2 linked regions of the Nothobranchius furzeri genome follow. The protein of the gene in region 1 purifies or fractionates together with the protein of each later gene. This does not show direct contact. Links are inferred from orthologs where the notes say so. Each region holds a gene or a part of one and is shown on either strand. Other genes may lie near its edges.

Evidence for each region.
Region 2: the proteins of pld1b (region 1) and arf2b purify together in Homo sapiens (affinity purification with western blotting; 3 studies listed by BioGRID, with this or other methods). This does not show direct contact. The link is inferred for Nothobranchius furzeri from reciprocal best matches to the Homo sapiens genes PLD1 and ARF1.

The regions. Positions count from the first base shown.
Region 1 is NC_091747.1:63,395,613-63,399,913, forward strand, and holds the start of pld1b (phospholipase D1), read left to right. Parts: upstream 1-1,388; 5' UTR 1,389-1,460; intron 1,461-1,810; exon of another isoform or gene 1,811-1,905; intron 1,906-4,301. UniProt on the Homo sapiens protein: Function as phospholipase selective for phosphatidylcholine. Implicated as a critical step in numerous cellular pathways, including signal transduction, membrane trafficking, and the regulation of mitosis.
Region 2 is NC_091756.1:54,223,144-54,227,498, reverse strand, and holds the start of arf2b (ADP-ribosylation factor 2b), read right to left. Parts: upstream 3,073-4,355; 5' UTR 2,944-3,072; exon of another isoform or gene 2,910-2,943; intron 2,717-2,909; exon of another isoform or gene 2,672-2,716; intron 1,819-2,671; 5' UTR 1,809-1,818; coding exon 1,661-1,808; intron 720-1,660; coding exon 609-719; intron 1-608. UniProt on the Homo sapiens protein: Small GTPase involved in protein trafficking between different compartments. Modulates vesicle budding and uncoating within the Golgi complex. In its GTP-bound form, triggers the recruitment of coatomer proteins to the Golgi membrane.

The sequences.
Region 1 (4,301 bases):
TGAGCGTCGTTATGTTCTTGTCGTTTGTGAGACCTCAGGAGCTTCAGTACGTGATTATTTTAATTATCAGTCAGAGACTCCAGCTCATTTCCATGCAGATGTTTTATTTTGTCTCACTGTGGCTGCAGGAGCAGGAGGAACAGCAGGAGAAGCTGCAGCTCCTACTGTTGCTCCTGGCCCCTTACTGCGGCAGGAGCAGGAGGTGCAGCAGGAGAAGCTGCAGCTCCTACTGTTGCTCCCCTTTGCAGCAGGAGGAACAGCAGGAGAAGCTGCAGCTCCTACTGTTGCTCCTGGCCCCTTACTGCGGCAGGAGCAGGAGGTGCAGCAGGAGAAGCTGCAGCTCCTACTGTTGCTCCCCTTTGCAGCAGGAGCAGGAGGTGCAGCAGGAGAAGCTGCAGCTCCTACTGTTGCTCCCCTTTGCAGCAGGAGGAACAGCAGGAGAAGCTGCAGCTCCTACTGTTGCTCCTGGCCCCTTACTGCTGCAGGAGCAGGAGGAACGGCAGGAGAAGCTGCAGCTCCTGTTGCTCCCCTTTGCAGCAGGAGCAGGAGGTGCAGCAGGAGAAGCTGCAGCTCCTACTGTTGCTCCTGGCCCCTTACTGCGGCAGGAGCAGGAGGTGCAGCAGGAGAAGCTGCAGCTCCTGTTGCTCCCCTTTGCAGCAGGAGCAGGAGGTGCAGCAGGAGAAGCTGCAGCTCCTGTTGGTCCCCTTTGCAGCAGGAGGTGCAGCAGGAGAAGCTGCAGCTCCTGTTGGTCCCCTTTGCAGCAGGAGGTGCAGCAGGAGAAGCTGCAGCTCCTGTTGGTCCCCTTTGCAGCAGGAGGTGCAGCAGGAGAAGCTGCAGTGAAGGGACCAGGAGCAGCAACAGGGTCTGGTTTAACTGTTACTCAACAATTCTCACATTTTAAAGATGTAAGTGAATTATGTCAGAATAAACAGGCTGCTGTGTGATTTTCTGGGTTACTCACAGGAAATCACACAGCAGACTAGTGTTTCTACACAGGAAGTGACTCAACCTTCAAAACAAAAGCCTCACAGTTAGGTTTTAAGCATGTTTGTTTTTAAAAACAACTAAAAATGTCTAAATGTTTCCATTTCCGAATTGAACAGATAATTACCTTTAAAATATAATTATGGCCTGTATTTCATTTTCAAAAAATGATTTCTAATTTTATTTTATTGCACCTAATTTTTATCCTAAAGAGTGGTCTGACACTTTCTTTTATTCTGCTGACCTTTCTGTTAAAATCATCTAATTACAAAACAACTCAGAACGTTGTTATGCCATTTCATTTTCTTTGACTTCAGTGCATTCAGCAGCTGGTTTGTAGCCACCAGACCTCCAGAACAGAAGTATTCTGATTACTCTTCATTTGTCTGCAGAGACGCTCCAGTGCTGAGCAGGAGCCTCATCCTGGAACAGAAAAGGGAGGAGGCCACGCCCTGCTGCTTTAACCATAACAAGAGGTAAATTCAGCATCCTCTCTCGCTCGGACTCTCTGCCAGACGTCACAAGAGTTTAATATAATAACAGACATTTAGCTCTAAATGTTATCTCACAAGGAGGAAGTGTTGGTCTTTGTAACCCCTCACATCTGCTCCATTAAACACACGCCGCTGACGAGTCACTGATGGTTACCATGGTGACCCTAATGAGCCTCTAGTGTGAGTGAAGTCACATGTGTGTATTTTATGTTTTTGTGAGCTAACCCTTTTCTGTTTTTAAACAGGAGTCTTGAATCATTATAAACTTTTTCTCGCGGTCCTTTCTCCTCCCAGATATAGGCTTTTATTTTGAAGGTGAGCCAACCGGATGTAGTGCCCAGGTTTTTTACAGCTGTTTGACATCAATCAGGTGGGTTTGGGTCTCCCGACCAGAGGTGCAGCTGCTGTCGCTTCACATCAGGAGGAGGTGAGTCCCGGTCCGGTTCGATGGTCCGGTCCGGTTCGGTCCGCTTCATGTGTTTGTTTTATCGTGTTGGGGAAGTTAGCTGGAGTTGAGCTGTTTAATGATTGGCTGGTTCGGGTTTATTTAATATTTATTTGCTGTGTGAAGGAATCCTGCTGCAGGGTTCCGGTTCTGGTTCTGGTTCGGTCTCAGGGTTTAATCAGTCTGGTTGTTGGAACCGTCTCCCGGGGGGAGGCGGGTTCTGGAGCTGTTCGTGGGCGGGATGGGAACGGGTCAGACCTGTATGATTGTTCCCCTTTTCTCTGCTCTCCTCTCCGTCCGCGGTGAACTTCCCTCCGACCAGCTCGGGTCAGAACCAGAACCAGCTCCCCACACAGGCTGACCCAGAGCCAGCTCAGCTCGGGTCAGAACCAGAACCAGCGCCTTCTCCTCTGAAATCACTCCTGGTGATGATTCACCTCCAGCAGTAAATCACGCGCAGGCTCCGTGTTCTGGTTCTGGTTCCGTTCATTTGTTGTGAAACTGCTGTTGAAATGTTTCTGACTCAACCAGGAAGTCAGAGAAAATCTTTTCTTCTTCTTTTCTTAAATCTGTGAAAGGAGATTTGATCAGGGTGTTTTAAGCCTCTGCCTCTAACTCAAGGGATGAGCCAGCCAGACGTAAAGAAGATGAAAATATGCAGAACAAAGACTAAATCGGATGAAAGCCCGGTGGGTTGTGCAATCCCACGTTTACATGAAGGAAACGGTTGTTGTGGAAACCTGGAACTCGGCAGGAATATTCAAGCAGCCTAAACATGTCAGCAGCGGTGAAGCTCCTGAAGTTCAGTCATGGTTCTTGGTTTTGCTCCTGCCCTCGAGCTTATCAGGGGCCCATCTGGCCCTCTTTGAACCCCCTCTGGCTCCGCCCCTGGCCCCCCCTCAGAACCATAATTTGGTCTGATTTCTGGAGTCGGCTCAGTCGGGAAACACCGCGATAACTTCTGGATCATCTGGAGGTTCTTTAGTTTCGAAACTTTTAGTTTTGTCCTGTCGTTGCTTCTAGTCACCCTGATCATAGTTCTACAACAGCCTGACAGTCTGGACATCCATGATCCAGAACCACTTTAGGAGATTACCGGAACGCCGTGCTGCTGGGAGGCTGAACAGAGTCTCAGATCAGGAGATCTGCACCTCAGTGGCAACGGGCTAACGGTACTCAGCCAGGCCTGTAAACACGGCCCACAGGATGGGAGTGCTTCATTTACTTTGAGGGTGTGTGTGTGTGTTTGTGCCACACACACACACACACACACACATCCTGATGGGCGATTCCAGCCTTTAATCAATACCAGCAGCAGCTAAATGTCAGGATCCACGAGGCTCTGGAGACGGAGCAGCCTGCAGGCAGGAACCTCACCCACTCTGGAGAACGTTCTGCTCCAATTAGGAAATAACAGGAATGATCCTGGAGACCGTTTGTTCAGTTTCACATCCTGCAGCTTTGGGAGATGTACCCAATATCTGCAACAAGCTGCAGGAGGAGCCTCTAACAATAAGCCCCGCCCCCTCAGGTAAACTCGACTGTAGAAACCTGATCCAGAGTCCAACCGGGACACAGGAAGCTGGACTTTCCATGACTGAATGTTGTTCTGTCTCTGTGATGATGTCATCATATGTCTCACTGCAGTAGAACCCCTAACAGCCACTGGTGGTTGCCATAGTGATGCTATTGAACCACTGGCAGCAGCTTTAACATTTCTGCTCTGGTGCTACCTAAAATGATCTTGTTGTATAAAGGGAAGAGACGAGGCAGAAGTAGACGTATTTAAGCTTCTAAAACCTCATCAAACCGACGTTTTCCTTCGTGTTTCAACAACAGACGGCTCACACGGAGCTTATTTACTCACGGAGGGACTTTTAAACCTGCTGACGATTATCCATATTCATGTTTGTAGTGAACTGAAACCCAGCAGCAGGTTTTAGCAGCAGCAGGAGGAAACTGAAGGTTCCAGCTGCTAAACTCTGGTTTTACATTAAAATAAAAATATTTAAATGATGATAAAATCAGTTAGCACTCAGCTGCTGTGGCTTCATTAGCTGAGGTTATTTCCTGTTTGCATCTGCAGAAATCTGAATGTGGGACTTTTTTTTACTATTTCAACTTCATGGTTAAATTTGGTGCATAAACTATAATTATCCTCTAAAGTGAAACGGTTTAGTCCTAAAGTCTGCAAACGCCTGGATTATTAAACTTTTTCTAAAATGTTTGCTTCAAATAAATCAGTAAAACTTTTATTTTTCTCACAAAGTTACAAAAATGAGAACAAACCTAGGCTTTTATTTTGTTGACACCAATGATGTCTGTACTTAAATATGTTCTGTGTGTGTGTGTGTGTGTGTGTGTGTGTGTGTGTGTGT
Region 2 (4,355 bases), on another chromosome or scaffold:
CAACCCTCCAGTGGAAGTCTTATTGGAAGCTTGGCCTGTACAGTAGCTGGAGCTCATTAATGCAGCTTAAGTACCAGCGGCTGGCTGGCTGTGTTGACCTTCAGCTGAGAGCAAAAACAGATAAAAACACAAAGATGCATGACTCAGTCTTTTCATGGCAGCCACGTCCACAGCCTGCCTCCGATTTATTATCTTAACAAGACTGCAGCAAGCAGCAACTTTTCAACAGGTGAAATCAGAATTAGGACCAAATCTTCTGTCTACATATAAAATTATTACCGGAGCTGTAATTCAACGTTGCGATCTGTTTGAAACTCATTCTCTTAAGTGACACTTTTGACATCATCAACATATTCAACGTTACACTCAAGACAAAGAGCTCACTCACACACAGCTGACAAAATTGGAAGGAAAAACTAAGCATTTCTGCTCTACAGTGCTGTTTTCTGATCAGTGCCATCACTGGACAGGAGACCCACTTCACGCCAAGAACAGAATGAAGCTCCATGAGTCACTGGTTTGAAACTCATACACACACCAATGAAGCAACCTATGGGCAGTAATGCTCAGCAACATACAGCCAGCTGAAATATAGTACACCCTCTCACCTTGAGTGTTCTGGAAGTAGTGGCGCCACAGCGGCCTGATTTTATCCTGACCGCCCACATCCCAAACTGTGAAGCTGATGTTCTTGTATTCTACCGTTTCAACGTTAAAGCCTGCACACCAGAGAAGGAAAGATGGTGAGGCATCAACAATTTTAAAAAGTGTTCACAATTTACCAACAGTGTGTGTACAGACAAGACAGGGTTGAGGAGCTAACATTCGTCTCTGAAGGTTGAACATTAGAAAAATGACCCAAAATCTGTGCAGGTATTTTAAGACAGTTATTCTTCTGAAAAACTCTAACTCATCAGTTGGTCCACAATTATCTAAAATTATATTTGGTACAAAAATAATCCTTATAACATAAAAGCCTGAAGATAAGCAGCCTTCCAACAAGAAGAATAACCAACACTACTGACAAGAGGTTGACCAATAATGGTTTTTCTATTGCTGATACCAATGCCAGTATGTAGGAGACATGATCTGCCGACAGCTGACACGTACTGCTGATTTTTATTGGCATTTTCATGGCCTATATCCAGACATTTTCCATCTAATTTTACTGAATTTAACTAGCTGTTAAATATCAACTTTGTGCATGGTTCAGTGTTAAAGTCAGACAACTAAATAAAGTTAATTTAGAGTACATATTATGCTGATGTTATCAGCAAATGTAAAAATACATTTAAATTAAATTCTGCAACAGCACCGAGCTACCAGAGGTTGTCCATGTTGTAGTTCTTTTTAAACACAGAGTAGTTTTGTTTACCTGTTTTCCCGCTACGTTTCGTTTGCGGCTGCAAACTTCGACGCAGTTTGCAGCTGCAAACGAAACGTAGCGGGAAAACAGGAACACAAAACTACTCTGCGTTTTAAAAAGAACTACAACATGGAATTAGAAATACTACACAGCAAGAACAAAGATGTTACCAGAGGATGTGCTTGACTATAAATTGGCCTTACAAATATAAATCTATTGATGTATAAAAATGGTAAATAACAGCCCAACATAATGCTCTACCCCTACTACTGACATGAATAAATAAATCCGTACCAATGGTTGGAATGGTGGTGACTATTTCTCCAAGCTTCAGTTTATACAAGATTGTTGTTTTCCCAGCAGCATCGAGCCCAACCATCAGAATTCTCATCTCTTTTTTGCCAAACAGGCCCTTGAATAAGCTTGCAAATACATTCCCCATGGTGACAAAGCTGTAAGAAACGGAAACTGTTAAACAGGGTGACACATAGGTAGAAAAGGATGAAATGTAGTAAACTTATCTTAAATAAAATCTAATTATCCAATCCAACATTCTAAACAACACTTTAAATGTAAGGCTGTTAGTTTTTTGCAGCACCAGAAGAGGGAGCATCATTAGGAACATAAGTTTTAAGTCAAACAGAAAGACTCCAGAAGGCATTTCACAAAAGGCAATACAGCCAATATGGAAATGACAGGTACATACAGAAATGTGTTCTATAGAAGTTGGGAGACAAAGGTTAATGGTGAAACTAGGAACCGTTTTCAACTGAGTCAGGGTAAAAAGAAAAGTTGAGTTCGCGTTAAATATATTCGAGTTTTAGCTTTTGGGTAAACACTAAAATATTCAATCCATGTGTTCCTCAATTAACTTTTAAGAAAACAAAACTCTGAAAAATTAATCTTAATTCATCAGACTTGATCACCTGATCCAACCATCTCGTTCACCCGGATTAGCCTAACAGCTAACTAACCCTTGATTAGGCCTGCTCCAGATGGGAAACTCCGGTTGGGCAAAGTGTTATTGTGCGTGAAAGTAAACAGCAGCTCGACATCCAATCCAACTTAATCTAACAGAGGTTTGATGAGTGTTTAAGAGAAAAATAATAACAGAAAAATCCTGTATTACAAATTATAACGCAACGGGTAGCTTTGGATGTTAGCTTCAGCTAAGCGCTATTAGCTTCACTAAGGGCGGATGCTTCAGCTAGCCGATTGTGGACAACTATTCATCCAACAAATGTTTTAAACAACACATAGCGACACATTATGAAGAAATGTAACGCTGACATAATTGACAAGTACCAGTGGAACTGATGTTCAGCTCGTTGAAAAAAATCGCCGTAACAGATCTTAGATCACCAGTTACAGGAACTGATGTAGCGCGCTAGCTACCATTAGCTAATTGCCGCGTCACTGCTAAGCGAACACCATCACGTAATGTTAAACGCCACTCAAACCGAGTCATTTGAATATAGTAACAACCACCACGCGTTAGGCTATTTAAGGGTACAGAGATGAGCGTGTTTCTGAAGTTTGTTACCTCTAACGACACAGCTTCTCGATCTTTCCGTTACCTTTTACTGTCACTCCAAAATGGCGTCTTGCGCAACCAGGGAGACACCGGCGTTACGAGTGCTTCCCACTATCAAGTTATGGCCAATCATAGCGCCTATGGTGTAAGTGAGAGCCCGCCCCCGTCTATCGGCGAAGCAATCACAGCGGCGGAGGATCGACGTGTGAAAAGTGCACAAAATGTCGAGGAAGTGATGCGAGGCGGACAAGTTGGTCAAGTTTCTAATCAGGTTGTATGGCAGGCCTCAAGTTTCTAATCAGGTTTATGGCAGGCCAATGTAACATATAGTCAAAATATACCTGTTATACCGGTTTTTATAAATGCTAAACTTTCATCAATAATTTCACACGGTTAAGTCCAATAATCCTTTACACAGTAATAAACATATATCTAATTAAATATGTCAAAAACAAAATCAAGTAAAAAACAATGTCTCCACAACAGATACTATAAAACACCTCAAACTGACATTAGAAGACCCTAGTAAGTAGACCCTAGTAAGTAGACCCTAGTAAGTTTCTTGTAATGGAAATTCTTTGAGAAATACCGGTATGTACAATGTTTATTTCATATATGTCAAAAAATAGTCCAAATCATGTAAGTGGAAGAATGAATGATTCTTTGTTGTTCTGTTTGAGAGCCAGCAAACAACAAGCTGACATTTTCAACACAGAAAGGGTAGGTACTCTGAGCTGCTTTTGGGCACATAAGGAAACTTTCATTCTCTTGGGTAAACCTCAACATACAGGTTGACAGTCTGAGGTTCACCAGCCGCATCGGGTCTTCGCCTTTCTCCAGTGATGAAGAGAGCTCAACGCCAGGAGCTAAGGCTATTGTGTAGAAACGTGTCCATCTATATCCAGCCAGTACTGCTCAATCTCTTCCACAAGTCCCAGCTCCTTCCTTGTCATTCCATGTTCCAAACATTCAGGATCCAACTGCTAGCGCTACCACCTCGGTCTGGCCAACACAGACCCATCATGCTCCTCTTGCAGGTGGTGGGTCCACAAGTAGACAAGTCCATGACACCAGAATGCTAAGCCCAGCCATCAGGCATTCGCACGGGCCCAACACCTGGCTTGGTTTCAGGGTGGCCACAGTAATTTTCCAGGCCAAATACTGTTGAAGGATTTTCTGAGCGAGATTTGCTCTTGCCATGGGAGTCGGGAAATGAAAATCTCAGTCAAAAGGTCAGGTTCCTTCCGTTTCTCATATCTTTAAAGTGGCATGGGCAAATCTGCTAAATTATTCTCACCTCTCCTGTTGGCTTTCATCCCTAGGTCATGTTCCCTTGCTGAACACCAGTCATAGTTTCTAGGTCTAAACAGCTTTTGCTTTCCACAACTTAAAATGGCATTTTGCTTTTTATTGGGGGGGGGGGGGGGGGGGGGGGGAATGGCAGCTTCAAACTAG